Arabidopsis thaliana: one gene and its partners. The protein of the gene in region 3 interacts with the protein of the main gene of each other region in a pairwise test. Each region holds a gene or a part of one and is shown on either strand. Other genes may lie near its edges.

Evidence for each region.
Region 1: the proteins of PRA8 (region 3) and AGD6 interact in binary tests that used the Arabidopsis thaliana proteins (3 or more experiments, as listed by UniProt).
Region 2: the proteins of PRA8 (region 3) and ACD11 interact in a two-hybrid assay, tested with the Arabidopsis thaliana proteins (one study listed by BioGRID).

What each region holds. Positions count from the first base shown.
Region 1 is NC_003074.8:19,898,541-19,910,084, forward strand, and holds AGD6 (ARF-GAP domain 6), read right to left. Parts: upstream 7,051-11,544; 5' UTR 6,880-7,050; coding exon 6,112-6,879; intron 6,027-6,111; coding exon 5,937-6,026; intron 5,712-5,936; coding exon 5,190-5,711; 3' UTR 5,188-5,189; exon of another isoform or gene 5,112-5,187; 3' UTR 4,707-5,111; downstream 1-4,706. Other genes in the region: AT3G53690 (RING/U-box superfamily protein), read right to left, coding at 457-535, 621-1,504; MEE40 (Pentatricopeptide repeat (PPR) superfamily protein), read left to right, coding at 1,763-4,027; CHX20 (cation/H+ exchanger 20), read right to left, coding at 7,286-7,648, 7,733-8,446, 8,671-8,907, 10,171-11,205, 11,308-11,487. UniProt on the Arabidopsis thaliana protein: GTPase-activating protein (GAP) for ADP ribosylation factor (ARF).
Region 2 is NC_003071.7:14,624,018-14,635,386, forward strand, and holds ACD11 (Glycolipid transfer protein (GLTP) family protein), read left to right. Parts: upstream 1-5,968; 5' UTR 5,969-6,407; coding exon 6,408-6,599; intron 6,600-6,820; coding exon 6,821-6,993; intron 6,994-7,190; coding exon 7,191-7,339; intron 7,340-7,655; coding exon 7,656-7,762; 3' UTR 7,763-8,065; downstream 8,066-11,369. Other genes in the region: AIR9 (Outer arm dynein light chain 1 protein), read right to left, coding at 83-258, 383-503, 617-731, 812-1,044, 1,331-1,432, 1,893-1,992, 2,292-2,357, 2,448-2,510 and 6 more; AT2G34700 (Pollen Ole e 1 allergen and extensin family protein), read right to left, coding at 10,281-10,591, 11,364-11,369. UniProt on the Arabidopsis thaliana protein: Exhibits selective intermembrane transfer of ceramide-1-phosphate (C1P) and phytoceramide-1-phosphate. Does not transport ceramide (Cer) or GalCer, suggesting a requirement for phosphate in the headgroup for functionality.
Region 3 is NC_003074.8:4,487,640-4,498,473, reverse strand, and holds PRA8 (PRA1 (Prenylated rab acceptor) family protein), read left to right. Parts: upstream 1-1,673; 5' UTR 1,674-2,705; coding exon 2,706-3,272; 3' UTR 3,273-3,495; downstream 3,496-10,834. Other genes in the region: CYP90D1 (cytochrome P450, family 90, subfamily D, polypeptide 1), read left to right, coding at 60-144; PRA1.F4 (prenylated RAB acceptor 1.F4), read left to right, coding at 4,916-5,482; AT3G13700 (RNA-binding (RRM/RBD/RNP motifs) family protein), read left to right, coding at 5,842-6,123, 6,178-6,240, 6,319-6,400, 6,489-6,563, 6,651-6,723, 6,814-6,856, 7,014-7,129, 7,242-7,311 and 1 more; AT3G13690 (kinase with adenine nucleotide alpha hydrolases-like domain-containing protein), read right to left, coding at 8,463-8,696, 8,796-8,945, 9,018-9,165, 9,252-9,328, 9,426-9,586, 9,722-10,764. UniProt on the Arabidopsis thaliana protein: May be involved in both secretory and endocytic intracellular trafficking in the endosomal/prevacuolar compartments.

The DNA of each region.
Region 1 (11,544 bases), about 15 Mb from region 3:
CATATTTTTGATGATAGTAAGAATTAGAGGTATCAGAGAATGTAGAATCCTATGTGGATATGGTAGGTATGATGATCTCAAACGAGAAAATCCTAAGAGATGTTACAAGAGGAAACAAAAGAGATTAGACCTAAGAAGAAGTTTAAAGCCTGATATAGTCCATGAAGTTTGGATGGTCAAAGAGAGGAACAAGACCTATGTAAAGAAATAAGACAAAGGTTGCATTCTATACGGTAAAACAGAGTTAAGGTGCTAGAAGTTGAAAAGGAATTTTTGTTTCTAGGATCTTACATTGTTAACACGATAAATTATTGTCCATATGATTGATATTACCTTTTTACCTAAATAGCGAAAATAGGTACAAAGCATCAAGACCAAATAGAAATCCATATCCTTAAAGCTTAAGCTTAGCTTTAGATTAGAGACCTATATAATAAGAAATGCTGATGCTAAATATCAACGCTTACAATTATAACAATAATGAGTATGGTCCCTCGATGGAGTTCCACAGTTGTAGCAAAAAGCCAACCCACACCTGCCAAAATGTGTTTAAAAAGATATATAAAAACAATGTTTTTTAAAAACACTCTTGTTAAGAAGAAGAAGATACATATATATACCTGCACTTCATGTATAAGCAACCCTGAGATTTCTCAATATAGAATTTGCAAGAAGGACATCTTTTCCATTTCTTTTGCTTTGCCATCGTCGCAAGCAAAATATCATCTCTTCCTCTCTCGTTCGCCGCTAGCTTCTGAAACTCCTCGCAAGTCATCTCCGGATGCCACTGAGTCCCACACTCCACACACACCATTCTATGACAATGAGGACACTCCGAATCTTTCATCTTTACTTCACTCTCTTCTAAGAAAACCAAAGCAGAGCAATCCTTGTAAGGACAGTAGAATTTCTTCGAACGCATCACTACTGCTTCACACAAAGCATCACCCCACCGATCAAAAACCTCTTTAGGCAAAATCTGACGACACTGATCTGGCTCGAGCCGACCAGAACAACCAGAGACAGGACATTCGATTGAGAGAATGTTGTCTTGTAATTTAGCTGCTATATATTTCGAAACACAGTCGTTGCAGTAGAAGTGAGAGCATCCACCGATACGAAACGACTCAATTATGGATTTTGAATCAACACATATCTCACAGTCGAAAGTCGCCGTCTTTGACGAAGAAGACTGACCCTTTTCTCTGTGGATTGGTGGTGCGAAACAGAGGATTCTGATATCATCGTCTTCATCATCGTAAAGATCAAGATCTATGTAAATTGGAGATTCTGACTTGATTACGGTTTTGTGAGGAGGGTAGACCCAGAGACGTTGAAGTTTCCGATCACGATCGTAATTCTCAACGGAAATAGCATCACGCTTTGTGGAACCACGTGCAGAGAGAGGAGGAGTGGAGAAGATGAAACAATCGGAATTATCGCCGTCGTCGTTTACATCTCCGGGAAGATCAACGATCACTGCGTTAACTGACTGTGTCGCCATTTCAAAAATGATTCTAATTAGGTTTCGTCCACAATCAGAATTAGGGTTTATGAATCACTTACTACTTTTTGCTCTTTTGCATTGAATCACTTTCCATTTTCCAAAGCGTCTCACTTTTTGGCTTACTGCTAAAAAACCTAAATCGAATTTTTAATAATTGTCCGGTTCACGAACGAACCGGTCGGTTAGCAAAAAATTGTAATCCTTAAACCCATTTTGTTGCTTCACTCTCATCATCTTCTCTGGAAACTGAAAACTATGGCTTTCTCTTCATGTCTCAAATTCTATCCATTTTCTATCTCTCAAGCTGTAACCCTAACTCATCATTCCTTCTCTCTCAATCTAACTCCTCCTTCTTCTACCATCTCCTTCGCTTCTCCTCACTCAGCAGCTCTCTCCTCTACCGATGTCAAGCTTCTCGACTCACTCCGTAGCCAGCCTGATGATTCCGCCGCACTTCGTCTCTTTAATCTGGCCTCTAAGAAGCCAAATTTCTCACCTGAACCTGCTCTATACGAAGAGATTCTCCTTCGGCTAGGTCGGTCTGGTTCGTTTGATGACATGAAGAAAATTCTTGAAGACATGAAGAGTTCCAGATGCGAAATGGGTACTTCTACTTTCTTGATATTAATCGAGAGTTATGCTCAGTTCGAATTGCAAGATGAGATTTTAAGTGTTGTTGATTGGATGATTGACGAATTCGGGTTAAAACCCGATACCCATTTTTATAACCGGATGTTGAATCTTCTCGTTGATGGGAATAGTCTGAAACTCGTTGAGATTTCTCACGCGAAGATGAGTGTCTGGGGGATTAAACCAGATGTATCTACGTTTAATGTTTTGATCAAAGCTTTGTGTAGAGCTCATCAGCTTAGACCTGCGATTTTGATGTTGGAGGATATGCCTAGTTACGGTCTTGTTCCTGATGAGAAGACATTTACAACGGTTATGCAAGGCTATATTGAAGAAGGGGACTTGGATGGAGCTTTGAGGATTAGGGAACAGATGGTTGAGTTTGGTTGTTCATGGTCTAATGTGAGTGTTAATGTTATTGTTCATGGTTTTTGTAAGGAAGGGAGAGTCGAAGACGCTCTCAATTTCATTCAGGAGATGTCTAATCAAGACGGGTTTTTTCCGGATCAGTACACGTTTAATACGTTAGTTAATGGTTTGTGTAAAGCAGGGCATGTGAAGCATGCTATTGAGATTATGGATGTGATGCTTCAAGAAGGGTATGATCCAGATGTGTATACTTATAACTCGGTGATTTCGGGTTTGTGTAAGCTTGGAGAGGTGAAAGAAGCAGTGGAGGTTCTTGATCAGATGATTACTAGAGATTGTTCTCCGAACACGGTTACTTACAACACTTTGATCAGCACGTTATGTAAAGAGAATCAGGTCGAGGAAGCTACGGAGCTTGCCCGTGTTCTCACCAGCAAAGGGATCCTTCCTGACGTTTGTACATTTAACTCTTTGATCCAAGGTTTGTGTTTGACTAGGAATCACCGGGTTGCGATGGAGTTGTTTGAAGAGATGAGGAGCAAAGGATGTGAGCCTGACGAGTTCACTTACAATATGCTGATTGATAGCTTATGCTCCAAAGGGAAGCTAGATGAAGCTCTGAACATGCTTAAACAAATGGAATTGAGTGGTTGTGCACGGAGTGTGATAACTTACAACACTTTGATTGATGGGTTTTGCAAAGCCAACAAGACTAGAGAAGCCGAGGAGATATTTGATGAGATGGAAGTACATGGAGTTTCAAGAAACTCTGTTACATACAACACACTCATCGATGGGCTTTGTAAAAGCAGGCGAGTAGAGGACGCGGCTCAGCTCATGGATCAAATGATTATGGAAGGACAGAAACCTGACAAGTACACATACAACTCGCTTTTAACACATTTCTGCAGAGGAGGTGACATAAAGAAAGCTGCGGATATCGTGCAAGCCATGACCTCAAATGGGTGTGAACCAGACATTGTGACCTATGGAACCTTGATAAGCGGTTTGTGTAAAGCTGGTAGAGTTGAAGTTGCAAGTAAGCTTTTGAGGTCAATTCAGATGAAAGGGATTAATTTGACACCGCATGCTTATAATCCGGTGATTCAAGGGTTGTTTAGAAAGAGGAAAACAACAGAAGCTATAAATTTGTTTAGAGAAATGCTTGAACAGAATGAAGCTCCACCAGATGCAGTATCCTACAGAATCGTTTTCCGTGGGCTATGTAATGGAGGTGGACCAATCCGTGAAGCAGTGGACTTTCTTGTTGAGCTGTTAGAGAAAGGATTTGTACCTGAGTTTTCTTCTTTGTACATGTTGGCTGAAGGTCTTCTCACTTTGTCAATGGAAGAAACACTAGTCAAGTTAGTGAACATGGTGATGCAGAAAGCTAGATTCTCGGAGGAAGAGGTTTCAATGGTGAAAGGTTTGCTTAAAATCAGGAAATTTCAGGACGCTTTGGCCACTCTTGGCGGCGTCTTGGACAGTCGCCAGCCGAGGAGAACCTACCGGTCAAGATGATAGATACCTTTAGAAAAAGTATCGTTCCCAATTTCGTAGAAGATATGTATGATGTTATGAATATGATTTCCTATAAAGTTTTGGGGTAATTCATCCATTTAATACTATGTTCGAAGACCAACATGCAGAAACAAAACGACAATGGAGTGTGCGGTGTTAGGTGTTCCTCATTCGTTGGGTCATCCTCTCTCGTCCACTTCTAGTCTCTATGGTCTCTCGTCCTTACTGTTTGTATATGTATTATGTAGGCTCCGATTGTTTTTGGCATTGATGCTAGCGTTTTCAGATTATTGACTATAAGAGAAAAACCTAGACATGATCTCTTTTATTCTCCGGTTAACTTGGCAGATTTCAGACCAACCCGGTCAAATCCTGTGGTCCTATGGTCAGTCCACTATGCTTCAATAACTATCCTCGGTCGTAATTTCAACCACAACCACAAGCGTCGTGTCCTCAACAATATACTGTATATGCTATAGTCATTATTGTTGGGGTCAGTGGGGTTCCGATTCTCCACTAAAACTTTTCTGGTATAAGTGTATGTTTGTTCAATCAAGCAGATCAGTCCACATATGTATCAGTAGATGACGGTTTCGTCACTCGTAGATAAATTATCATTGCCACTTGTATCACTACTTCCACATCCACTAGTGGATTTTGTATGGATCACACCAAAACATTCTTTGAACCTACTATATACTTTTACCCTTTATAGAATAGTGCCAAAACAAGATAATTTATGCGTTTCGAGAACCAAAACATTATCACGCTACGAACAACGGAACAAGGCAATTTTGAGAAAAAGAATGTTCAGTTGTGGTTACAGTTGAAGATAAATTTAAATTGTGAAAGACTAAAACCGAAAATCTTTAGCAAACAATCGGCTATGGATCTTGTACAAATACGTTACTCCTTAACACATGAAGAAAAGATATCAAGAAACCGCCAACTTATGAAGAAAAACGCAGACCTGTGGGTATGGATGAACATGGTTTTAAGATGAAGACCATTCTTATCTTCTATTCAGACCACGATGGTCCCAGCCTTAATTAATTATACACTTCTCACCGGCATTCTGAATCACCTATCCGAAGAAAGATGAATATAACGTTACTGCTATATTTAACTGTTAAAGCTACATGACCTTAAAGGTTGCTTACCCTTAGAGAAAACCTCCACCAGTCCAAGCGGTGTCTGATTTCCCGTTGTGACCAGCAGATTTCTTATCGCCTGCACTTTGGTAATGACCATCGAACCCATCATCTTTGGCATCATGATCATCCCAACCAGTCCAACCATCATCATCATTAGAAGCAGATGACCCCTTTGGAGCTACTGCTTCTGTCTTCTTATTCTCATTCTCTCCCCAACTATCCCAAGAATTTGAATTCTGCGAGTTGTTGTAATGACCACTTGTCGATGATGATTGTGGCCTTCCTCCTCCAACAGATGAATTCGCTGCTTTGTTCCCATTTCCAAAGTTCTGGTAGTAACCATTGCCCTCATTTTCACTCTGCTGATTCCAGCTTGTTGATCCTTCTTTAGTAAACTCTTCTACCTTCTGTGTCGCCATTGCCATTACTCCTTTCATGATTCCCCATGTCCTATGTCCTATCTCTGTTGTCTTATTAGCAACTACATTTACAGTTTCACTCACCTTGTGATCATACCCACCTTCCTTCACCTGCAATAAAATGGTTTCTTATCTGATTTTGACTCCACTTTTCCAAAACTCTATTGCCAGCAGTATTATGGTAAACAAGAATTCTACAGAGAGCATCTAAGAATTGTGCTTTCTACAGAGTTAAAGATTCTCACTAGACGTGTCGTTGAGGCATCAAGCAACGCAGTAACTAGATATTTCACAAACTCTATGCAAATCAAGCAGAGAGTACAGATAGTTAGTTACCTTGGATGTGAACTCCTTGGTTCCTGTTTGAACAACACTAGCAGCTGACTGAGCTGCAGATGCAGCAACCAGAGACAGTCTTCCAAAACCCTTAGCAATTTTTAAACACGAATCAACACACAAAACGTAATTCACCGAATTCAAAAAGGAATTGCAAAACATTCATTCAATTCACCTGAGAAACAACGGAGAAAACATCATCCTGTTGATTATTTCTCGGTGGTGGAGCCGAGCTTGATCCGAATCCTACATACTTGCCACCTTGCGAAGGAGGAAGACCTTCAGGCTTAGACTCATTCTCCGCCATTCTCCTCGCGAAGAAACTCTCTTTCCCAGCGGCAGAAGCCTCAAGCTGCGATCGCGTGTAGATATCCTCCGACGACTTTGACTTCACATGTGCACCTTCTCTATTTCCCGATGCCCTGAAATCATTCGCTGACTGATTCCTTCTCATATCAGATTTGTAAGAATCATCGTTATCCCAACTATCCCATCCTCCATTGTTATTGTTATTGTTGTTTCCGTAACCGCCCTGAGCCAACGGAGGCTTCTTATTCGCTTCCTTAACAACTGGCGGATCATTCCATGGTCTACCTTCAGCTAAAGCTTGGATCCGGTCACGATACACAGAAGCAGCGTTCGAATTGTACTTGGAGATAATATCTGTCTCCTTAGCGATTCCGTATTGCGCGAAGAATTTGTTGAGCCGTTCGTTACCACCAGCTTCCATTTTCTTAATCTGGATCGCAGACCATGAATCCATGGTTACGGATCTGACGAAGGATATGTGAACGCCTAAGCCTCGGTGTTTCCCGGAGCATTCCAAACACATGAAGATTCCGTACGAAACCGACGCCCATTGAGGATTCTTCTGAGCGCAATCGACACATACCTTGTTTTCAGGCTGAGATTGGAGAGTTCGTAATTGTCTCGTCGCCGCCATGTTTCCCGGAGCTCCGAACGATGATCAATCCAACCTGAATCAGATCTAATCCAAATCTCGCAGACTTGTGCTGCTCAGATTGATGCGTTTTTTTTTCTTTTCCGTTTTTTCTCTTCTTCCTAATAAATGTTCGGGGTTTTTTTTGGTACGTGTCTCTGGCACGTGAGAGGTTTCCGGTAGTTTCTCAAATGGCCCAAATGATAATTGTATTTACTATTTAGTCCAAATATGAAATTATATGTAGACGATGCCCAAGATGCCCAATCATGGTTATTTATATGTAGACGATCTTACAATTCTTACTCAAGAGCTATCTATATATTGTAGATAAACTACATCTTCAACTAACCACTTTAACCATGCATTAAGCCGAAGTTTAAGTACTAGATCAATTTATTTATTGTTATCATACATTTGTGTCTCCGTTAATACTTAGAGAAGACTCACTAACAATTTTGGAAACCGTAATATCCTCTACATGAGCTTTGTTGTGTTGTTGAACCACAAGGATTGATGGAATGATGTGGTTGATCGAAGAGGCGAGCACGTCTCCGATAGGACCTAACTCAGGATGTTCAGCTTGACGCTCAGCTAATGCCGCCACCTCGGCCGACGGTATCCTCCCTCTTCCAACCACTATTAGATCAAAGTCTTTACTCTGTCCTATTGACAGTATTTCTTCAATGATGTTGTTTGGTTCCTTTTCTTTGTACTCCACCATTTCTTTCCATTTGCTCTTGAAGTCTTCCAATGCCCCTTCGTCTAATTCCTATAATTATTTTTCCAAGAAAGAAAGCTATAGTTATATTTGTCATAACTGGTATATAAACATAGGGGATCAAAAGAGATTTACCTTTTCTTTTTCTGGATCCACGTTGGTTGTTAAAAAGGCATAGTTCTTCTCCTTGCCTTTAGACGGTGCCGGTCGTAAAGTGACGGCGGTACTCCTCAACGTTTCTCTTACCAAAAACCTAATAACGGTAACTTTAACGGCCGGATGCTCAGCCATTCTCCCGCCGAGCTCTATAGACTCACGGTCATCAGGCCCACCAAAGAAAATCACACAAACCCTTTCAACCACATTCGACCCATCTAAGCTCAAAGTTTGGGCCTCAATGGACCCAAGTCCACGGTCTACAAGAACCGCCACCGAACACGGCGCATTCTTCAAAACCCTTTGGTTAACCAATCGCCAACCATGACCAACGTTTTCCGGTACGTTTCCATCTCCTCCTCCGTCTTGGTGGTGGTGGCTATGACCATGATCAGCGTTCCATCGTTTGTGGAAAGGTAAAATGATCATTGTGACCCTCTTGGTATCTGCCATGTGGCAAATGTCTTCGTGCATTGTGGGTAATGGAGAGACTGCGGTGATGGGCCGGACTGCGACCCGGCCTAGTTGACGATAGGCTTCGAAGCCTCCTATGACGTTGCTGTGACGCTCACCATGACGGTAACGGTGAACGAAAGGAAGTCCGTTTTTACGGGCTCTTTGCACCATTATGATTGACGAAGACCGTTCCGTTAGTTCCATCAGATGCATCACAAACAGCTTTAGCCGTAGTATCTGCCAAAACAAATACGACTTTTTAAATTATTAACCAAGATTATAAATTATTACCCAGCTGATTTTTAATTTTAACTATACAAAATGTGTGTAATTATACGTAGGATACATTTTCATTGAGCATTTCAATGATATCTTAATTTTCTGATATAACTCTTATCATAGATTTACAAATTTAAATATAGATTATTGTAACGTAAAAATATAAAAGAAAGGTAATTTACCTTGGTGGTTCGGATGGACTCGACGAGAGAGATGAGGGAGGAGACATTGGCTGGGCCGTGGAGGCAGGCTAGGATGCGAAGCTCTTCCTTGGTGGAGTCTTGGCTCGCCGACAAGTCTTTTAGTTTGCGGTGGGTGCCACGTGCCGGCTTGTAAATGGCCATTACAGTAGGCGTCGTTATGAACGTTGTGAAGAGTGCCATTAGCACTAGTATTGCAAACGTCTCGTCGTTTAGTACCTGGTTAAAGTCAACCCCGCGTACAAACAGTTTAATTAAAAATAACCACACTTACTACATTAATGGGTAATCATTATTTCACTTTATTGTTGCATTATGAAGAAGATCATAAATCTGCAAGTGGATCAGTAAGTGACGATTACGTAAACATTGGCCCATTCGAAAAGGTATATTCGTATAAAGTTTTCATGCAGAAAAAAAAATAAAAATAAAGTTTTCATGCATGCATATATATGACTAGTCCTTAATTGATCAGTTTTTCTTTATTACCCCAAAACAATAAGAAACGCCTTTATAATAAAAGTGTAGTATATAACTATAATCTTTGTTGGGAAGACACGTTTAAACAAAAAATTTTATATACTACATATTTCCAGAAGCATTATAGTATAATCTTGCACATATATTTAAGATAAAAATGTTTATTTCGGAGGTGACAAAAGAATCACGGACTAATGTTTTGAAGCTACCATTGCTAACTGCATCATCTTCGATGCACATAGTAAACTTAGCTATCAAATTGCAACCGTGTCCATCAGTCTATGATTAATGAACTGCAGATTTGTATTATGGTGACTAATATTACTATACAACGGTTGAGAGCAAACCTAGCTATCAAATTGCAACCGTGTCTATTATAGTGATAGTAAACCTAGCAGCCCGGCTCAATATTTTATTGGGCCCTGTGCTACAAACAAAAATAGCCCTTAAATCTAAACAAAATAACTTTATGTGACATGTGTTTACTGTATTTTTATTTTAAACTTATTATCTTTTATTTTGGTGGTTGTTTTTTTTGTAGTTTTCCCCTTAAAAAAAAAAAAACTGCAAACTAGAAGACTTAAAATTAAGAAAAAAAAATGAGGACCCTGTGTACTAGCACCTCTGGCACTCCCCTAGAGCCGGGCCTGCCTAGCTATCAATTTGAATTTATACAACGGTTGGTTAATGTTCAAATAAAACATAAGCAATTTTACTATTCCGGATCCCCGACCAGCCTACCAATATTGAGCGGACCGGACGCATATACACATGGATCCAACTAGAACCTAAATTTTTAAATATATCTAAACACCCTAAAATAAAGGTATAGATGCGATTAAATCAATATAATAATCGTATTTTGTTTTATATGCTTTATCCACTAAACATGATCAAATAACTTTAGTGTTACTAGGTTTTTTATATTTATAATATTCATCAGATAACTAAAAGCGTAAACAAGAACCTTAAAAAATCAGAAAAAAGGAAGACAAAACTAACCTTTTTCTCCTTGCCTATGTTGAGTACAATGAGCTCCACTAAACCTTTAGTATTCATCAAGAAACCAAGTGTCAACGCCTCTCTCGCCGGAACTTTAACCATCACCGCCACAACAAAAGTTCCGACTATCTTCCCGGCACAAGCCGTAACAACAACAAGACCCAACATCCCCCACGACTCAGCTCCTCTAATCTTAGCCACGTCAGTCTTCAAACCACTCGTAGCGAAATAAAGCGGTAAGAGTAAACCGGAAACAAAATCCTCAATTCGTTCAATCAATCGCTGACCAAACTCTCCATCTTTCGGTATAGTCAAACCGAAAACAAACGCTCCAAAAATCGAATGAATCCCAATTAAATCCGTCGCGAAACCGGAAACCATAACACCGGCTAACGTCAAACACACGTAAGACTCGCGTACGACGTCGTTTTCAGGAGATCCACGTTTCGCGACCCATTTCATTCCGGGTCGGATCACAACCAACATAAAAACCACAAACCCAGCGCCCGATAACAAAACCCACAACGACACTAACGGACTCTTTTTCTCTCCACCTCCCTCACCGCCATTACCCGCTAACGCAACCGCTAAAGCGAGTAAAATCCACGCGGCTACATCGTTAAAAGCGGCTGCAGCCATCGCGGTTTCTCCTATCTGAGTCGTTAAAAGCTTGAGCTCTGCTAAAATACGCGCAAGTACCGGAAAAGCTGTGATCGAGAGTGCGACTCCCATGAAAACGAGAAACTCGGCGTAACCTGGTTTATCCGCGGCGGTGTAGAGAGTGTTACGGATCACAAACGCGACTCCGACGCCGGCGATAAACGGTAGTGTAATTCCAGCGACTGCGATTCCGAAAGCGCGTTTGCCGCTTCGTCGGATCGATGATAAATCGAGTTCTAGACCGACGAGGAAGAGGAAGAAGAGAAGTCCTATGCTCGCGACGGATTCGAGTATCGGCATACTCCATTTCGGAAATATACGGTCCATGTACGCCATGTTTCTACCTAAAGCCGATGGTCCTAACAAAATCCCTCCCTGAAGAAGAAGACGATGGCAGAATTGTAAATTAAGAAGATTATTATGGTAAAATTGTAAATAGTTAGTGTGTGTGGGGTTAGAGTGTAATTTTTAACGTACGACAATCTCGGCGATGACTTTGGGTTGACGGAGAGGTTTGAATAAGACGGCGAGGAAGCGACTGACGGCGATGATTAACGCCGTTTGGACGATGAGTAACGGAAAAGCGAAGTTTAAAGGATTGTCGCCTTGCCATACTCCGTTAGATGAGGTTTTCACGGAGGTTATGTTGAAGGGCATTTTGGGGATTTCAAAGGACTCTCTTATCGACGACTTTTTTTTTTTGTTTTGTTCTCG
Region 2 (11,369 bases), on a different chromosome or scaffold from region 3:
GCAAAGAAACACAAATGACAATGCTATGCGAATGTAGTGAAAAAGGAAAAGATACTATCTATTAGAAGTTTTTTCCATCTACCTGCTTTTACGAACTCTGTGTACTTATACTGAGGCTCTCCTCTTGCACCTCCTTCTGTGACTGGTGTGTACATGAAAACCATACTTGATCCCACATCATCTAAAGATAACATATATTCCTCATCTTCAGCTCCATCGATCACCACAGGGCTCCCATTCCACTTTCTCCTCAACCAACTGGTTTTAAAAAAGGAAACCATACCTCTTTGGTTATTAATGATAAGTGAATCAACAAATTAGAATAGACAGAATTATTAGAAGCTGCATATAACAAAAGGAGATAGCAGAAAACACGATTTACCTGGTAATACACTTTCCTGGTGTCCCACCACACCATGCAACCACTGCTTGACCCTTGATAATATTCCCCTCAACTAGTTCCCCATTTAATTCAAGGCTCACAACTTTTGGTATTCCCTTTCCTGCACAGCACTTCACTGTGATATTCTAGAGGACACCAATAGAAGGATACAGTGCAAAGCACATGAAAATGGAAAACGTCCATATGGCCTATTGTATAACTGAAGAAGCATACCTCGTTGAACTGGGGAAGATATGGCAAATATGGATGGATATTCAGTCTCAGCCATAACAGGTGTACATTCTATCTTTAGAATTTTACCAATGTCTTCACGTTTGGGCCAATAGACCTATTGCAAATTAGAAAGAGAATAAAAGAACAGATACTTTTTTACACATGCAAATGAAAATATGGCAAAGTAAATTTTACCTCCTTGGTTGCATTAAGAATAGGAACGAAATTAGAAAGAGATCTGTCCGCCACAGACCATTGAAATTTCAGGGCTAATTCTTGATCTGTAGCAGTAGGACTTTCCTGAAAAAGACCAAAGTGGCATTGACAGGGAGCTTCTTCAGAAGGTCGGTCAACATGTGCTTCTTTAATAAGATAACCAGAAGGTAATGTGTCCTTCCACCTCTCAACTAAGAAGCGGAATGTCGATTCTGCACACAAGAAGTTGCAGGAATATGAATATTTAAAAGTTATTAGATGCAAATACGGAACTTGGAGTTGAACAAACGGACTTATCTATTCACATAAAAGTTCAACTAGCAACTAGTACGAAAGGGATGAAAATGCTAATTTGATTAAACAGTCAACTTTCTAAGTGTGACCATTGGTAACAAATAAAAATCAAGGGAGAGTGAAAGGTTTTAGTTTTCATATGAAGATTGCACTACCATCAAGCTACAATGAAAGATTATACAACTCTGAGAGGCAGATACATACCTGCTGCAAGATCAGACTTGCAAAACTCCCAACCTTCTCTGAGGCAGAGAGCTGTTTGTGGAGGATAACGCTTGGCAATTGCCACTTCCTCACGAGAGAGATCTAAAGAAAAATTTTAAGGTTATCATGGACCACATAGACCTAGATAAATGCCAAGCTACATCCCAAGAAACAACTTCTGAATACTTTCTAATGTATCAGTAAAACACTTCATTCCTAAATCTTTTATATTTAATCATTGCGGTTATTATTTTTTAAAATACAGCCAGTATGTTAGTTGTGTTATTCCCACAATTCCAAGAAATCCAACCGTTCAGAAGTAGTTTCCATCCAGATTATCAAAAACAATTGATAAAGATAAAATCATTTGTGTTTATCTCCATTGATCTAACATCGCAAAATCTCCTACCTCTTCTAACATGCTATTGCTCAGATTTCACCATCAGAAAAATTCTTACTTGGAAGGCCATATGATGAATGAAAACTTAGACATGCTAGTCATCTTTCTCATGAAACGATCAGTCTTAAGCAAACTACAGCACTTCGTTCTACAAAAGAGTACCTCTGTCATTGAATTTCTTCAAGGTAGGACCTACGAGTAGTATGGATGCCGCTTCCAAGTGAGAAATCTTCAGCAATGGATTTTCCTCAACCCGCAGATGCTGTAAAAGGAAAAACACAATATGAAATTACAAACTACGTATTAGTATATATGTATTGAATTAATGGAACATTGTTTCTGTTATAACAGGGCCAAATGCCATTACCAAAAAATTAAGTACTCAAATTGGACCATTGGTTCAGAGGAGAGAATTTCCCATAAGTGGTGGTTTTTCAATCTTTTATACTAGGTAATCTCATGTCCCATAAGATGTTTTATTAAAGCAGTGCATGCGACAACCAATCAGCCAAATAAGAAATGTGTGAAAAAAATAAAAATTGGGAACATAAAGATTGAAACCTCAAGAACTGGTAGATACGGAAAGTCCTTCAGAGTTGTTATCTTGTTCTTACTTGCTGCTAGTACCTGAGAAAAAAAAATTTATAAGATCTCTAAAAAACTATGACTTGTAACAAGGTACTGAAAACAACCTCAATTCTGAAACAGAAAATCTACCTGAAGCCGGGGCTGGCTTGCCATTGCAAGTGACTTTAATTTATTTTGAGCAACCGAGAGAAACTACCATGGGAACAAGAAAGGTGATAGTTGGAAAAAGTAAGGGGCAATCCACAAGTATGTAAGTATGAAGACTTGATAGCAATTATTTGGCACAAAATTGGAACAAGAGGCTTTGTAATTTCTGATGCTCACCTCTAAGTTTGGAAGTTGAGGCAGACTAGCAAGTGAAGTTATCTGATTTCCAGCAAGATAAAGTTGCTGCCCAAGTAATATAAGATTTAAATGTTCATCAGATAGCACTCATGAAGGAAGAACCAAGGATAGAATGGGAGAGAAAGAAACCTGCAGCATTTTGCAATTCTCAAGTGGTTCAAATCCAGGCCCTTTGAAATCATTAAAACTCAAATCCAGAACCTGAGATTAATGATAGTAACAGAATCATAGCTAGTGTGAGCATATATATCTATTAAAAACCAAGAACCCCAGGAAAATGAATTTACTGACCTTGACTCGATTCAATATCTCAATACCTTCCAGCGTAGATAGGAGATTGTCTCTAAGATAGACAAACTGGAAAGAGTAGAAGTAGAGGAAATTAAAATAAGTTGAATACTCGCATAAATGAGGCGGCATATTTAGTGTCCAAAAGATTGTATTTGTCGTTCGGAGATTTTTAAAACTAGCAGCAGGAACTCACTAAGAAGATTCAAAGTTTTTCCTCGTGAGATGTAAATAACTAATCCTCCCTACTTCTATTCAAATCCACAATTGGCATATATGTACATAAACATCATTGTCACAAAGCATTGCACTAGAACACTGTGAAGTTACTATGGAAATATAAGTTTACCTCTAAGTTTGGTGATAAGTGTAAGCCACCAGAGGTTAGACTGCGAATCCTGTGGCCTCTAAGATCCAATCTCTTAAGCAATTACAGACATCCATTAATCAACAACCACAGAAAGGATTGAACCTATTGTATGAAAATCTAGCAAGTACAAAGAGAAAGTGAATTTGTACCATGTCATCGCCAGCTTTAACCTCCACCTTTGGAAGAATAATGAGTCGTGAATCACGGCTTTCAGGGGTAGATGTTTTCTTCCGTCCAGAGAAGTTGGAAGTCCGGTCTAGAGGTGACGAAAATGACTTTGATCTTATACTGCTAGAAACAGAAGGTGATGATCCCGCAGAGGGAGAAGAAACTTTAGAAACTGTCCTCCCACTTGTGAGAGTAGAGTGTAGTCTTCCACTACTAGTCCTGCTGCCACTACTGTCAACTGATGAAGATGGAGCTCTTTTCGAAGACACAGAAACACTCATGGCTGGTCTAGCAGAAGACTCAGGCTTACTTAAACTAAACCCAGTTGACTTTGTCAAACTCCGACTACCTGGTGATACGGGGACAGACTTTTTACTCTCGGAAAGGCTTGGTTTGGATACAGTCTTAGCAGAAAGAGAAGACACAGAGCTCTTCCTCAATTCTGGAAGTGATCGTCTTACCGGATCAGTACGTGAGGCAGTAGTACTCACTTGCTTAGGCAGAACCTTAGAGGTACCAGCTAAATTCTCTGTTACTCCTCCAGTACTATTTCTCCTGATAGTCACAGGCGTAGTACCCGAGACCCGTAATGAAGAAGACGCAGTTGGCTTTATTAAATTCGAACTAATAACTGGTTTCTTTTTAGTAGAAGCAGCTCGATTTGACACCACAGACACTGCAGAAACACTCTCTGGGCTTCTGCTTTCATTAGCTATAGTTGCATTGTCCTCTTTCACTGCATCTACATTGGTTTCCACAGTTTCTTCCTCAACCTTAGCTGCTACTTCCTCCATAGTGAAATCAATCCAAACTTATGCAGATACAAAAGAAACTCAAATCAGAAGAGACGCATGATCAAATCATTAACAAAAAAAAGGAAACTTTATTCATTATACACAATCTCTCTACTTTATTTGTTGTATCCAAATTTCTCCGAAGTAAAAATACAGAATCAAATGACCAAGTGGCCCACGCACATTGTTTGGAATGGAACGCGCATGTAACAATTACTCTACTTTATTGGGTCCGGTCATAACAGGATTTACTAATAAAAAAAGTACGGACTTTAGTAGATTGTCTAAATTCAAGAACACAGACAAACAGAGTTTCTGGCTTCTTTCAGCTAACACTGTCGGTTACCTTCTACGATTTTTTGGTCCTTTTGTGAACAACCAATCCGCATTAAGCAGTGTTTATTTTTGAAAAAAATGTGAAATTCTTGTGAGTGAAACAAGCAGACGAAATTGCAGAAAGTGAGAGTTTTTAGCAATGAAGAAATTCGGGGAAAATAAAGTTTCTTCATTTAAGGAAATAAACCAATAGTAAGACAGGACAAGGAAAATAAATACTTACTGCACTGAACAATGAAGTAACCAGTAAAATCAAAAACCCATTTTCACCGTTTCACAATAACTCCGGTGGCGAGAATCCCGGCGACGATTCCGGCCGTTGAGAACTTGTTAAACAGAGCAATAGAGGCTGAAACAGAGAAATGTAGATCTGGATGAAGCAGAGAATAAAAAACGCAGCTCACTGATTGAAGCTTTTTTGAATGGAATCGAACAAAAGTGAAAACGACGATTAAAAATTGAGGGAAAATAGCTGGAGAGAGAGATGTTGGCGAAAGAAAAAGAAAAAAAAGTAAGGAACAGTGTAAACAGTGTGTAGCGGAAGAGTGTGTTGTGTAATATGTTTAACCCAAAATATACACCCCTATATTATACTTTAATTTATGTTTTTCACCCTCTTATTTTTTAAAGTTCCATGCAAGTACCTTACATTTAAAATTATCATGCGATGTCGGAAACTCAATTTTGTTTCTAAGTTTACCCGGTGAAAATGATAAAACGGTTATAAAAGTATGAGACAGTTGTGGATAATTATAGTAGTATAGGGACTATAATGAAAAGTAATTATCCAGAAGAAAAGAGAGGAACATTATAAAAAGAGAATAAATTAGAGAATTTGATGGTGAGAGAGAAAAGTTTGAAAATTTAGAGAATTTTAAATTGGCGGAAACCGTAAAGGCAGAGTTAAATGGCAAGTGGACGTTTTTCGAAAACTGATGAAATTGTTTTTATTTATTTAACCAACGATAAAATGATGTGCTCAAAAAGTCAAGAAAACAGATTCCTTTTTAAAAAAATTTAAATTTTTTGTGTTCTACTTATCCTAAATTATTACTCATAAAAATCTTCAATTAATTTTAAAATAAGCTCCACCTAAGAATCAATTAATGTCACTATCTTTTATAAGTAATCAAAATAATTGCATCCGCCATTCCTTCTACCCAATAATTATTAGTATAACCCACTAAATATTATTATCCCCTACCTATAATTTTGGTACCTTGTTTTAATCAATGAAAAGAATCGAAAAACAAAAATATGTATAGCCAGAGTGGAACATAAATGAAAGTTTGAAAAAAATCACATTTGTTGATGATGATAATCTTTTTAACTAAAGTATCCCAATGAAAGCTTCATATCTTAATTCTTGAACATTATTCATAATTCATCATCATCATCATCTTTTCTTCAAGTAGCTTCAACACAAGTCTATTGCCCAACTACTATCTATAGTTTAAGCATACGTATTTATGTTTCTTCGGTTCAATTGCACAAAACCGAATTTGGTTCGGATTCAATTCTATTATTTCGGTATTCCTACAGGTTATTTCGGTTGGATTCGGTTATTCATTCACACGGTGAGGATAATACTATCCAGATGAAGGATAGGAATGATCTGAACGCCAAACAAAGACAATTAGTGATCAGCGAATCGCCGCCTTTTTGAGTCGTCTTGCAGCAAAGTAGATTCCGCGGCAAATCACAGAACACCAATCGGAATAATCACACAAGAACAAAACTTGTTAATCAGGAGAAGACGACAGAGAGAGAGAAGGAGAGAGATCTTCCATGGCGGATTCGGAAGCAGATAAGCCACTGAGAAAAATCTCAGCCGCTTTCAAAAAACTAGCAATCATCGTGAATTCACCGAATCCGGAAGTTCCTGTAACGCAATTCTCTCACGCTTGCTCTCTGGTCTCGCCTCTCTTTGGTTGCCTTGGAATAGCTTTTAAGTTTGCGGAAATGGACTATGTTGCCAAGGTTTGTTTATGTAGTAGATTTGAATCAAAGTCCGAATCTTTTTCTAGTTGTGTTCACTTTCATGTACTATTGAGTATATTGTGAGATGTTGGAATTGATTTAGTTTCTGTAGTACTCAGACTGAATTTTGCTAATTTGATGGAAATGGATGTTGTGTTTGTTTATCTGGAGGATGAATGTTTTGGAAAATGAAATGTTAAAACTTGTGAATGTGACTATAGGTTGATGATCTTGTGAGGGCGTCGAGTTCGATATCGACATTAGTGGTAATGATGGACAAAGATATTGAGGCAGATTGTGTAAGGAAAGCTGGTAGTCATACGAGAAACCTTTTGAGGGTTAAGCGTGGTCTTGACATGGTCAAAGTTCTCTTTGAACAGATCATAGCTTCCGAGTAAGTGATTCTTCTGAACTCTCTCTTATTTGAGTTCTTGTGAAAATTTTGATCAAATGCATTAGCCGTGCCAGTTTGTAGGATGTGTGATTTAAATATGGACACTGAAGTAAATGAAAAAATGGAGTCCTGTTGTAGTTTTCTTTTATTTTTGGTCAAGATTAGAAGATTGAAATGTAGTTTGATATCTTTTGCAGAGGAGATAACTCCTTGAAGGATCCAGCAACTAAGTCTTATGCTCAAGTGTTTGCTCCCCACCATGGATGGGCTATACGGAAAGCTGTTTCTCTTGGGATGTATGCTCTTCCCACAAGGGCTCACCTACTTAATATGCTCAAAGAGGATGGTGAGTTCATCAACTAGTTAATATGCTCAAAGTGGATGGTGTGTTTGATAAACTAGTAGTTTAAGTAGTCAGATTAGTTTCAAGGTCTTCACAGGATTAGGTAGATATCACGGCAATATTTGGCCTGTATAAGTCCTGGTATCATAAGAGAGAACTCTTTGAGATTCACATTGGTTTTAAGTTCATTTGGCAGTAGGATATTAGATTTTGAATTTTCCAATACTATCTCTGTTTGAGATTTCATAAATCGAGTTTCTTCTTCATTATGTTCGCTGACGATATTGTTTTTTTCATTTATTTATGAATGTTGTTACAGAGGCGGCGGCTAAGATACATATGCAAAGCTATGTCAATTCATCGGCACCATTAATCACGTATCTTGATAATCTATTCCTCTCCAAGCAACTCGGTATTGATTGGTGAAGAGCCTGAAAAAAAGGCATAACTATTGTTACTCTTTAGACAAAATAACCTATGTTCTCACATCAAGCTATGTAATGTCATAACAACAGCGACGAAATACATTGGAATAAATTGAGTATGTCCTTAATCTGTCGTTTTATCTCTTCTTTTAATAAACACAGTTTATCTCATAGTAAGCAGAAGAAGCTTTACACGGGTTGTAGGAACGTATTAAACGGTTTGTTTCAATTTCACTCTCTTTGGTTTTGAAATTCTAGTATAAACCAAAGTAGTTGGTGCTTCAAGTTGTGTTACTTATTCAACAAAAAAATATATTATTTTTAATTTTTAATTTTCGTAGGTAAGATTACATAGTAACAAAATGTTAAATTTAACAATGTAAGATTACTATGTAAATGCATGGGCACCAGTAATCACGTATCTTGATGATATATATCCCTAATCCAAGCGAGTCGGCATTTATTGGTGAAGAATCTCAAGACTCATAGTCATCGCTAGTTAACAATCTTTTTCGGACAAAAGCGTCTTCGTTAAAATTCGGCATTATTAACCTTTTTGCCCTTTTAAAATCAGAAAATTTCTGTTTTACTGGTATTTTTCTTTGACGATTCAATTTTTTAGTTGTATTATATATATGAAAGAAGCTTAACTCTCTCTCACAGCTTGATATGTCAGTATCTAAAACAAGCAATACATAATTTAATTAATTTATCATAAAATATTTATGATTAAAAAGTAAAGAAGATAAATATTAAAAAGCTAAATGTCTCTTATAATTTAAAAATAAAAATTAAAAAGGATTGAAAAGTAAAGAAGATAAATATAAAGAAACTATTAGTATCTTATAAATAAATAAATAAACTAAAAATTGAAATATAATTATTTTAGTTTTGAATTAAGAAAATATTAAATATAAAAAAAATTAAACATAAAGAAACTATATATATCTTGTAATTAAAAAATTAAAAAAAAATGAAAAATGAGAAAAAAAATATAAACTCTTCATCATATAATTAATGAAATTTAAAAACTTATTGCTTTTAATTTTTTGTACAATAATTAAGGAAATTTAGAAATTAATTATTAATTTTAGAAGAAAAATGTTAAAATAGTTTAATAGTTTTGATTCACTAAATACATGTGTACATATATGATGGTATGAGGATCAAGAAAGTGCCGTAAAATGTAAAACTTCCAATGTTCCTTAGTGAAAAATGTTAACTTTTCTGTTGACAAGACGTGTATATAAACATCACCTATACCGGAGAAGAAGAAGACACAAAACAAAGTTAAAAAGAAGAAATTTTTGGTGCAGTGAATTCGAAGAGCAATATGAAGAATATTGGTTACATTATTATAGCCACCTTGCTTGTTGGTCTCCTCCTCATCATGGCTCTAGTGGCGAGTTTCTATTGGGCCAAACGACATGTCAAATGTTGTGGCGGAGAGGGACTGTCGTCAAAGGATGTGTTCAATTTACTTATACAATTGGTTGCTTTTATTCTGCTTTGTGGTTTATTTGCTTATTTGGTATTTTTGGTTTAGATTAGTAACCTAAAGCCATAGCAGATCGATAATGCGACTCTGCAAAATTTTCTCTTTATACCGCTGCTTGATAATTAAGTTTTGTTTAATTTAATGATATTGTACCTCTATTCTTGATATTTCAATGATTTTGTTATACATTACAAATTTGCAATGTTATTGTTACATGTTACTTCTATATATATATATATAGAGAACCGAAACGAAAGCAATACAGATACTATGCAAATATATAGTAGAGATAGCAAAATCAACAAATAAAAACATGTAAGAAGAGACATGAGTTCATGAAAAGAATTAAAAATCACATAATTAACAGATGTACCAAGCCTGCCTAGAGTTCAAGACATGTCAACAAATTTGTTAGCTTCTTCTTCAGATCTAGCGTTCGATAGGAATAAACTTCTGAATGCTGTTGCCACACCTCTAATAATCATATCTCGATGGCTTATGTCATAAGTGTCCACAGGATGAAGTATGAGTGATGTGTGGAAACTGCGGTGTTGACCATAACATCAAGAAACCAACCTATATCAGCCCATCTTGGCATTATCTCTGATGGGATGATTTCGTTAGTTGGCTGAACTACACAGCAAATAAACCGGACTATGTCGATCAAACTTCTTCAAGAACCATATCTGATGCCGTTTCTGGCTTCCCAAATTTCACATTTTCAAGCAAAAACCTTATTTGGGTTTCCATCTCATGAATGATCCGGAGAAGGAAGTACCTACTTGAAGTTTTCAACTGATAAAACTGTGAAATGTCAGAGCAATGGTTTGAGACCATATCAACCCCACAAATAGTACTAATTACTACAAACATGCACACTAACGATCTTATAATGTCAAAACACACAAATTTCAAATGGAAACGTACCAAGAAAACAAACAAGACAGAACATTAAAATCACTAGTGATCATCATTATAACAATCAAGCACACACCAAATACATAAAACGAAAGTATAGTCTTCAAAGAGCACAGGCAGGCTCAAACGCGAAGGGACCAACAGAGAAGAGAACGTAGTCGTGTTCACCGATGTTGATTGTCTTAGAAGGCTTAAGCATAGCACCGGTTATTCCATTGTTGAGCTTTGACGGCACGGTGCATGTCATCGTTGCAGTCGTGGGTCCAGGATTCGTAGGCCAAGCCCGGCACGTGTGGAAAGCGTAGGTGGTGAGTTTTTTTGGGGCTAGCATGAAGAAGTATCCGTTTTTGTCTGTTTTTGTCTCCATTGTCACACCTCTCTTTGTGTTGTTGCATGCAAGCTTTACGGTCGCTCCTATCATTGAAAATAACGAAAAGATTTACTTGATGCATGAAAGCCAAGTGGCGTGAGAGACTCGACGAATGCGAAATGCACAAGTACCATGCATATTGTAACATTTTTTTTCATATGTGTAAATTTTTTAAAATACAGTTTTAAGTTTTCTAATAATTTGTCGTTTGGTTTGAAAAGAAGAGAACATGCATGCAACACTATAAAAATACAAATACCACTATAAGTGGAATTTACCTTAAGCATATCAGTGCTTATTTGAGTCACACTAATTTTTGGATTAAAATCGTTAATTCAAGTTCCTTCATTCAGAAATATGTCTACCATGCATCGTTAGCTATAATGAGACTTCCTAAACTCAAGACTATTTTTTGGGGGCAAACACTACTTCATCTCATATTTTGTAGCCATCAAGTGGATAGAACATATCTAATATCTTCTGCGAGACCGTATAATGCATGCATACATGCTTTAAACACCGAAACTAATTCAAGAATCAAAATGTAACTTGCTACATGAGTTAATATGAAGACTAAATTTCATGGAATTAATTAAAAAAAATTGCGGTAAATTATGATGTTATGGATCTAGGAGATTACATGGTAACTAATTTTATTTTTTTTTGCTAATAATATAAATATTTTATTGAAAGATGAAAAAGGTTTAAGACATACAATTAAGTAAATCCTACAATTTTGGTCCCATGGCAAAAAAAAGGATAAAAACATGGTAACTAAATTTTTTGAAAGAGATTGGACGTTATAATGTAACGGACCTTGAA
Region 3 (10,834 bases):
AACTCTTAAACGATATACAGAGACTTATTTGAAAATATGTTGGTGATTATGATATGCAGATGGATAGCAGAAGAAGACACAATCATAAACTTCCCAACGGTGCATATGAAGAACAAATTACCCATTTGGATCAAAAGAATATAAATCATTTTTCTTAAGTGAAAAATGGAGAATCAGTTTTGCATTATCAAACTCTAAAAGGTTAAAGAAGTCACACGAGTGTTTTGTAAGTGGGAAGTGAAAAAGATAGTGAGACAGCAAAAGGTAAGAAAAAAAGAGAACATGATGGAGTTTGGAGACAAAAAATGATTCACACGTGTGGAAGACGATAGCACACATGCCAACTATTTTGTCGTATTCCTTCACAAGGCAAATAAGGACAGAATCACAAAACCTTTTTGTTGACCGTATATATATATATATATATATATTTTTTTTTTGAAGTACAAAGGTGTATGATAATTATGCATATGATATAGAATCCTAATTTTCATGACTATTTCCTCTCTCTCTTTTTTTTTTTTAAATGTTAAGGACGACTATTCCTCTTCGTATATTAAATTATTAACTAAGAAAATCATTACAGAAAAGTTATAATTCTGGTTCAATCATTTATATATTTCCAAAAGAATGGTCTAATAAAGATATTATGATAGTCTACATCTATTTCAAGCAATTTTACAGTTTTTTTGCTAAATATGTTAATATCATTAATAATGAAGTTGTGGCGTTACAAAGAAAACCAGTACAAAAGCAACTTTGGCAAAAAAAGTAAAAACAAAGCTACAATAGATTTAGGAAATTTTTGAAGACATTAACGGATCCAGAGAAGCATTAGCTTACGCCAACGCTTCCTAAGCAATTTTACAGTTACTAGTTATTTTTTTAATTTTTAACTGGGTGATGGTTTTCTCTTTTCTGAATAGTCTCTAATAGTTTTAGATGTAATAATGAATGATTAAGCAAAGTCATATTATTTCTCCTCCACTTATATGATATGATGTAATTAACATAACAACCCACTGAAATTGATTTAAACAACGTGACAAGACAAGAAAGTTGTGTTGTTTCAACTGAACATCACTAACAACCAGATCTAACCACTAATTGTACTATATTACATTTTTCTCACTATTGTAACTACGAGTTGTTTATGTTAACACAATAGCCTTTAGAATTGATTTGGATAAGAGGGCTTCACTTTTAAGAGATCCATCCGTTAAGCCTGTTAAAGGCCCAAAAGTTGCATAATAGAAAAGCCTATATATTGGCAAAGACGGGCAACTGTTTAGGCAAATAGGTATTTCTTATGTTATCGCCGCCGTTGAGCCTTTTCTTGTTTTTATTCCCTATTTTGAGTTTTTCAAGACCTTGATTTTCATTTATTGTTAGTTATTTCTCGTTTGGCTGATGATAAGTCCAGCCCGAAATTCCGTTGTTATAGCTTTTTTTTGGTGAAGTTTGCATGGCCATGGAGAACACTAACTTTTTTTTTCATGTAAGTAGACAATTTCAGAGATACTAATCCAAGAGATGGCGGATACGTTTTACAATCACGAATCTTGTATGATCACTAACCATTGGAACAATAAGAGTATATAATGAGTATATCACCATTTAGTTCTAGTGGGTGGTGATCATATAAGATTGGTAATGGTAACAGTGAAACATATCCCCCATCTATTGGGATTAATTAGTCTCCCTGAACAGTCGTGAGAGAACCTTTGTTTGCTGCGGCAGACACTAGAGACTGTTGGAAGACCTTGAGATATACAAAAATGTAGAATTATTTTGAAAATAGGTGATGTGGATCTGGTACTACTTGATTTACATATATGTATTTGCTTCTCTGCTTACTTGTAACGAAAGCTACATTATATAATATACCTTTGATTTAAGCAATCTTGTTGAATAGGTTTCTCTGGTTCTTATGGAGAAAAACTTAAGATTTTTGTAATCCATCATACATTTTGGTATAGTTTTGATCTTATATGTATTGTGCTTTGACACAAGCTAACTATTTTCTTGTTTCACAGAGCGGGATCAATTCTAAAGCAGCCATGAGTCTGGCTCGCTAAAGAAGCCTATCGATGTGGATCGTCCAATGGAGAGAGAGCATGTGACATGAAACCTTCGTTGTATTGGGCCAATATCTTTTGTAATTGGGCTGACTAAAAATCATGATAAAGTCCGAGGGAGACTATAAATAATTTACTCATTGTTCCTGCCGACATTACACGTGGCGAAAGAGTAGTTATATGCCAGAGAGACTCCTCTAAAATGGGGTCACGTGTAGCCTGTATCGACTATTCAATAATGCCACTCTCGCTCGGTGACACCGTGTCTCTTACTTTATCATTAGTCTTTCAAATTAACTATATAGTCCTTCAACATGTAGTAATTCATCTACTTATAAATTGCTGTTACCCAAATCTCGAGTATCTAAAACTTATACTTTTCAGACATTGACCAAGTAGTGAATCAAATCCTCACGTTACACTATATTGTAATCTTTTTAAAACACGATCTAATTAAATTTTGTTTTATTTCATAAACATAGATTAGTTTAGAAAACGCCATATGCAAATGTGTATCACCTAATTCTTGGGACCTTTCAGAATTCATATATACACATAACAAACAGTCTTTTCATTTACTTTCTCTATTCAATCTCACACGCGCTAAACCATAACCCGATATTACTAATGACGAACTACGGTGCGATTCCGACGTCGTCTCATGCATCTCCGTTGGTGGATGTCGAGTCTCTCTCACGCGCTAAACACCGTATCAAAGCCGGGCTAGCCACGCGCCGTGCTTGGAGAGTGATGTTCGATTTCCACTCCATGGGACTGCCTCACGGTGTCTCCGATGCGTTCACAAGAATCAAGACCAATCTTGCTTACTTCCGTATGAACTACGCAATCGTTGTCTTGATCGTTATCTTCTTCAGCTTGATCTGGCATCCGACATCGCTCATCGTCTTCACCGTCTTGGTCGTTGTTTGGATCTTTCTGTATTTTCTCCGTGATGAGCCTATCAAGCTGTTCCGGTTTCAGATCGATGATCGGACGGTCTTGATTGTTTTATCGGTGTTAACCGTCGTTTTACTCCTGTTGACCAACGCGACGTTTAATATTGTTGGAGCGCTTGTGACCGGAGCTGTGTTGGTTTTGATCCATTCGGTGGTTAGGAAGACGGAGGATCTTTTCTTGGATGAAGAAGCGGCGACGACTGAGACTTCTGGGCTGACGTCATACCCGTCGACTTAAATCGTTTCATCTCGAAATTTGTGTATCTTTTCTATTTTTGTATATTATCTTGTTTTTTTAATTATGCGTAATCAATTTTTATTGGTGTGAGTTTGGTTTGAGACTTTCTCTCTCTCTTTTGTTTTCTGAGTTTTGAGCTCTGTCTGAAGTTTGAACAATTCTAATTTGTTATAATTTTTATTACTCCCTCTGTCCATAAAAGATAAATTTTTTAGGAAAAATATTTGTCTTACAAAGATAGAAATTTTATATTTGCAATGCAAATTTTAAAATTGTTTTCCCGTTTTACCCTTACTAAATAATTAGATAAATATTTATTATTATTTTTAAAATATATTAAGAGGTTAAAATTATGTTTATACAATATTTCTTAAAAAATGTGCAATTTCTAAAAAATTCATCTTAGTGGGACGGAGGGAGTATTTTATATTCGCAAAACTCAGGAATAATTTCTTGGAATGATTTATTAATCTGAAATATTTAAAATGATTTAATCTGAAATACATAATAAATAATCAAATTAATAAGTCAAACATTATAAATTCAAAATGGGTTGTAATGAATATTCCCTTTTTGCATTCCGTAACAAAAAAATAATCAATTTTTGTTGTAAAGTTTATTCAGGTTGGTTCACCTTCAAAGTAGGAAAAAAAGTTTGGTCTTGATTTAAGTTCTTTTTTCATTTGGGTCACACAAATGAGCAATTTGAAGCAAAAATCCTTGATATATATGCAGGCCTTATTCAAATTTCCAATGTAAAGATTTGAAGCAAAAATCCTTATATATAATTAGGTCTTTCAAAAGGCACAAATATTCTAGCCCATGTAATTCTAAACGGACGCCATTAGATATGTAAGAGCATCTTCATCAGTAGTCTTTCAATGAGATACCCAATAAAAAAAATATAATAAAAAAGGAAAAAGTAAGAGAGAAGGAAGAAAAAGTAGGAGAGAAGGAGAATTAAGTTTCTTGGAGGAGAAACTTTGAGAAACTATTCTCATTCAATTTGGACAGCTGTTATCCTATTATTAGTTTAACTATTAAATAACAATTAATATATCTGTCTTAATTAAAATATTAATATTTTAATTTTTTGAAAAACTTTCCTTACTGATGGAGATGGTCTAACAGTATTGAGCATACACATCTTTGTACGCGTCAGCTCCCTTCGCCGGCGCTTAATACCACCGCCACACTTGCCGCCAATTAGAAGCAAACCGGTTTAAAGTGGCGTATCACCAACATTACGATCTTAACTACGTCTATCGACATCATCCTCATCCCCATAATCTTATCCACTCAAGACTCAAGTACACTGGACGTGGCAGACCAAGTTTTTCTATTTAATTCTTCCAACTTCATATTCCAGGAACTCGATCGACTTTCAGACATTGACCAAATTGAATCAGATCATAACGCTACATCCTTTTATATATATATAACATCACGCTACATTATTGTAATAATATCACAAAATTTCTACGGAAAAAAACTCGGTCTAATGTTTTAACACACCATCTAATTTATTTGGTTTTATTCCATATGCAAATTCAAGAGACCTTCTTCATATATTATACACAGAGAGATAAAACAATAAATCAGAACAGTTTTACATTATTTCAATCAAGTCATCTTATTCACTAATGGCGAACAACGACGAGATTACCACGTCGTCTCATGCATCTCCGGCAGTGAATCACGAGTCTATCTCACGCGCTAAGCAACGTATCAAAGACGGACTAGCCACGCGCCGCTCCTGGAGGGTGATGTTCGATTTACACTCCACGGGACTACCTCACGGCGTCTCCGATGTTTTCTCAAGAATCAAGACAAATCTTGCTTACTTCCGTAGTAATTACGCAATCGTAATCTTGAACGTCATATTCTTCAGCTTGATTTGGCATCCGACCTCGCTCATCGTCTTTACCGGTTTGGTTTTCCTATGGATCTTCCTTTATTTTCTCCGTGATGTGCCTCTCAAGGTGTTCAGGTTTCAAATCGACGATCGTGCGGTCTTGATTGGTCTATCGGTGATTACCATCGTTCTACTTCTATTGACCAACGCGACGTTTAATATTGTTGCGGCGTTGATGGCCGGAGCTGTGTTGGTTCTGATCCATGCGGTGATTAGGAAGACGGATGATCTTTTTTTGGATGAAGAAGCGGCGACGACTGAGACTTCAGGACTGACGTCACACCCTTCGTCTTAAAACGATTGATCTCCATTTTTATGTATATTCTATTGTTTTTGATCATCTTATGTGTAATTATAGTTTATGGTGTAACCGTGTAAGTTTGGTTTGATTCTCTCTCTGTTTTTAAGTTTTGAAGTATGAACAAACTTAATAATGTCAAAGTCTTCGCTTCTTGTTTTTGGCGGGCTGCTTACTTTTATCACTTTTTGGCGCCTTATTGGGCCATTCATTAAGGCCCAATAGTATCAGCCCATAAAATTCAAAAAGGAACATATTTTTACATTTAAACAGTGTGTCTCACACTTCCATTTACACGTCAGCTCTCTTCGCCGGCGCTTAATACAACCGTCAACCTCGCCGCCGGCTAGAGGAAAATGGCGTATCACCAACCGTACGATCCTTTCTACGTCTATCAACTTCATTCTCATCCTCATCATCTTCCGCCGCAGCTGCCACTGCTCGCCGACGAACCTGGGGCGATTAACACTCTCTTTGTCTCTGGCTTGCCTAATGACGTTAAGGCTCGTGAGATCCACAATCTCTTCCGTCGTCGTCATGGATTCGAATCTTGTCAGCTCAAGTACACTGGACGCGGTGACCAGGTTTGTAAAAATCTCCAATTTCTGTTTTTTTTTATTCCCATTTTTAGAAAAGCTGTATACTTTGTGATTCTATCGATGTTTAAGCTTTCTGAAGTTACCTATCTTCAGGTTGTGGCATTTGCAACATTCACGAGTCATAGATTCGCCTTGGCTGCAATGAATGAGCTAAATGTAAGATTCACTTTGATCGAATTGTGTGACTCTATTGTTACATTGTGTTATTTGATTGTGGTGAAGCATTTCTTTTAGGGTGTGAAATTTGATCCTCAAACAGGATCAAATCTACATATAGAACTAGCTAGATCAAACTCTAGAAGAAAAGAAAGGCCAGGTATTTTCTAGACTTTACTCTCTTCTTACTATTGAGTTAGTGTGGTTGGTAAATCGATCAATGAGTAATGAACAGTCTATGTGGATAGGAAGTGGACCTTATGTTGTGATTGATAACAGAAACAAGGAAATTTCTAAGTCTCAGGATGACCAGAGTGATGAAGGTAATGTTCTGGTTACCTTGTGGACTCCTAATTATTTAAATGTATGAATGCTTTATGTTTCTGCTTGATCATTGTTGATGCATCTAGGGGATAGCGATCCAGATGAGGTGCAGGAACCTGGAAATAGCGATTCTCCAAAGGAAAACGATACTACCAAAAGGTTGAAAATGACAATTAGAAGCTTGGTTTTGTAGTTTTTTAGGTCAAAAGAAGAAGACTAATGTATTCTGATTTCTTTGCAAATTTACAGCGAAGCGGATTCTGAGCCAGATAGTAAAGCACCATCTGCTAATGTAAGTCCAAGCCAAAAATCTAATCTTTTTAACCAGTTGAGATATCTCTATTTCTCAAGTTCGTTGAAGATTAATAAAATCTTATTTGTTACTTACTGTAAGATACTTCCATATAGACTTCCTTATGGTTCAGTAGCTTACTGATAGATTTCTACAGGGGCACTTAGAGAAAGCATCTGAAGGAGGTTCTGGTGCTCGAGCTTGTTCGACCTTGTTTATAGCTAATCTAGGGCCTAATTGTACAGAAGATGAACTCAAACAACTCCTATCTAGGTAACCTTGTACAATGACTGAAACCTACAGCATTAGGGTTTGAATGTTTCTTCAAACAATCATTGGTTTTTGCCTTTCCGAAAGTCGATTGATCTGATCCATTTGCTTACAGATATCCTGGTTTCCACATTTTAAAAATCCGAGCTAGAGGCGGAATGCCGGTTGCATTTGCTGATTTTGAGGTATAAGTTGTTATACATGCTTTTGATTTTGTCTTTGTAGTCTATATACCCACTCTCACCAATTGCAGGAAATCGAGCAAGCTACTGATGCCATGAATCATCTTCAAGGGAACCTCTTATCCTCTTCAGACCGAGGCGGCATGCATATAGAGTAAGAGTAGTTTTTCTTACACTTGTTCAACAATTAGTTTAAAATTCAAATTTTGCCAGATTATTACTCTCATAGTCATTACAGCTACCCCAATGTCACACCCTGGTTTTTGGTTCTTCCAGATATGCAAGATCAAAGATGAGGAAACAGTAAAAGATTATCATAACCACAAAGCCTCACTTCTCAAATGAAGAATGTGGTGGATAATGTACCATATGCCAATGGTAGTCTCTTATGAAAACAAGATATATAGAGATCATAAGCAAATGAAAGCTGTATTTCTTATTTTAAATCTTCACTTACTATTTGTTGTCATGAAGATGAATCCTTCTATGCTGACACTGACTTAAGAGATACATATGAATATATTTATTCAAGATTTACTAATAAGATCTCCAAAATCTTATGTTGTTATGAGCACGTTGATAGAAAGAGACAATCAGATATTTGTCATGATCCAGTGAGTAAAATCCATGGAACCTCTGAACGTACTGCCCCACCAAAGTCCTCGCCATCTTTGGGCTTTTCTTGTGTGTTCAATTTTGAAATTTTTTGATAATTGGTGATGCGGATAAGTAGAAAAGATACTGAGGACCAACGCATCACTGTATTGACAGGCAAAGTCAGATTCAAACATGACTTCTCTCTCATGCACCATTATTACAATTTTGAAGACTTCCAATGTCGATGTCGTAAGGAGAAGGAAGCCCTCTCATTGTTTTGTTTTCTTCTGCAGAACAATTCTATTGACTCTCCTAAACCAATAATTCAAATTCGAAAAAAGGAGAAAAAGCCTCTCTTGTTGTTTTGTTCTTTTAATACTCCTTTACCAAAAACAATTTTAAATTCCTTGATAACATATTTAGCAACTGTTTTTGCATCTTACCCCACTATACAAACAAAAAAAGCTGTGTTGCCAGCTTTGGACCACATCACTTAAAACAGAGGACTTTACTAAATACCCTATCAACTAAACTTATCATAAAGCAAAGTAGTGTGATTAGTATTGCTTGTTATGGTTTAGTTCAAACCTCTGGCTTCTTTCCCTCTCCCTCAAAGCTAGTCTTGGCGTTTCAACAGACAGCCTTTCACTGAACCTATCCGAGCCATCATTCGTTAGCTGACCGCTGTAATGATCCGCCCAGAACCTCCCGCTTCGGTTGCCTGCCTCTGAACCTGGAGTTGATGCGTAGTTTCCATCCATTATCATATCTCCTTCCAGTATACGCAACACCTTCATTATTTACCAGAAGTTTTAGTATCATCAGAAACTTAAACTGAATGATCCTGAGACTGAGACTGAAGAGTGATTTCAAGAAGAGCTTTTGGTTACCTGAGACATGCGTGGCCTCAAATGTGGATCTCTACGTATGCACAACGAAGCTGCATGAAGCATACAAATGACCTCACTTTCTACAAAACGGTTCCCAAGCCTCGGATCGATAAGTTCATCTATCGCATATTCTTCCAGTAGAGGACGTGCCTGAGATCACAAGCCACAAAAGGAGAGTCAGTTCTGTTACTTTGCTGAAAACTAAAGATATGAAATCATTACCCATTCAGTCAGGCATTGCTGGCCTTTCGGCCTGGTGATATCAATGGCTTTGCGGCCAGTGACTAGCTCAACTAGAACAACCCCGAACGAGTAGACATCAGCTTTTTCTGTGATTTGCCCGCTTTGAGCATATTCGGGAGCTAGATAGCTGCACACCAACCAAGCAATTTCTTTTAGCAACAGACAAATTGTTAAGTTTCAGGAGCAAAATGATAGCTTTAGTAGGTGTCTCACCCGAAGGTTCCTATCACTCGTGTATCTACACCCATTTCCCCATCAGGCTGCCATCTTGCTAGACCAAAATCTCCAACCTGATGATATTATCAAAGTTGACTCAGGACGAAAAAGCATATGAAACAGTGGATATCTGCTGTTACGATGAATGAGCAAGACCATATTTATACATACCAGTGGCTCATTATCATGAGTGATGAGGATGTTGTTAGGACGCATGTCTCTGTGGACAATACAGCCAACTCTGCACTCTTCGTGAAGATACCGAAGACCTCTTGCAGCTCCAACAGCAATCTTTTGCCGTGCTGGCCATTCCAGAGTTTCCTTTTGACGACCTAGAAAAGAGCTTGATACTGAGCAAACATTTTTCACCACAAGAGCTTCAATGGAAATTTTAAGCAACATTTTTTTTTTGGATAAAATATGAATTAGTATTACCAAGGCACATGTGAATTTTAAGCAAATATTACCGTATAGATGAGAGTCAAGTGAACCATTGCAAATGTATTCATAGACCAAGAGCCGTCTGCTGTCTTCAATGCAGAAACCAATTAGCATAACGACGTTTCTGTGCTGAGCACAGCTGAGAACTTCCACTTCGGAGCAAAACTCTACATCTCCTTGAGAACTGGCCAATTTGTGTTGCTTTACTGCAACTACCTGGCCTTCTGGTAGCACACCCCGATGAACAGATCCATAACCACCCTCAGCCAAGAAGTTAGCCTGTGAAAACCCACCCGTTGCAAGCTCTAATTCAGCGTATGTAAACAGCCTTGGGGGTTTCCCAAATACTGGCGCCTTGTGCTGGCAAATTGAACAGAGAGGAGGTGGACCAGGAGGAGCACTTCGAGAGAGTGATATTGCATCTCTTACGTTTCCACTAAACTCTAAATCCATCCTTCGACTAGACGACAACCCAACTTCAACATCAAGTTTAGAGAACTTTTCAAGCAAAGCCTTTGTAGTGGATATTTGTGCCCTGTCATCATTTTTCCATAATAAGCTTTCTTCGGCCTCCTGGGATGAGTGGCGATGGGTGCCAATATATTCTGATATCCATGGCTGGAATCTCATACTCGTTGACGCTAATGATTGGTTTTCACTCTCTGTTTCAGAGCCAGAATCATCAAGACCATCATTCTCCTTGATCACCAATGCTCCATCCTTCTTCATGTATCCGTTCATTCCCAATGTGAAGAAAGGTGAAGTTCCCAGGTCGGAGCTCGACACAGATGAAGTCCCGGCTTCTGTACTTGTGAACGGTGTCCCCAGCTCAGGGCTGCTAGTAGGAGTGACAGGTAGTCCTCTATCAGCATCTAACAATCCTTTAGTGTTCTTTGAGTGTTTCTCAGATGCTGCTTCTGGTCCAGATGGTAAGGGACACTCTTTTCCAGCATCTTTCTTAGGAGATCCAACAAGGTTTAAGCGTAGAACTTTTGCCTGCGAACGCTTCATCACCACAATGTTGCATTGCAATTCATCCATACACCGTTTCTCTTCCTGCTTGAGGTGTCTGCAAAACAAACCACACAACACCAGTGTAAATTGGTGAAAGTAAATATAATTGTGTAACCCATCATTAA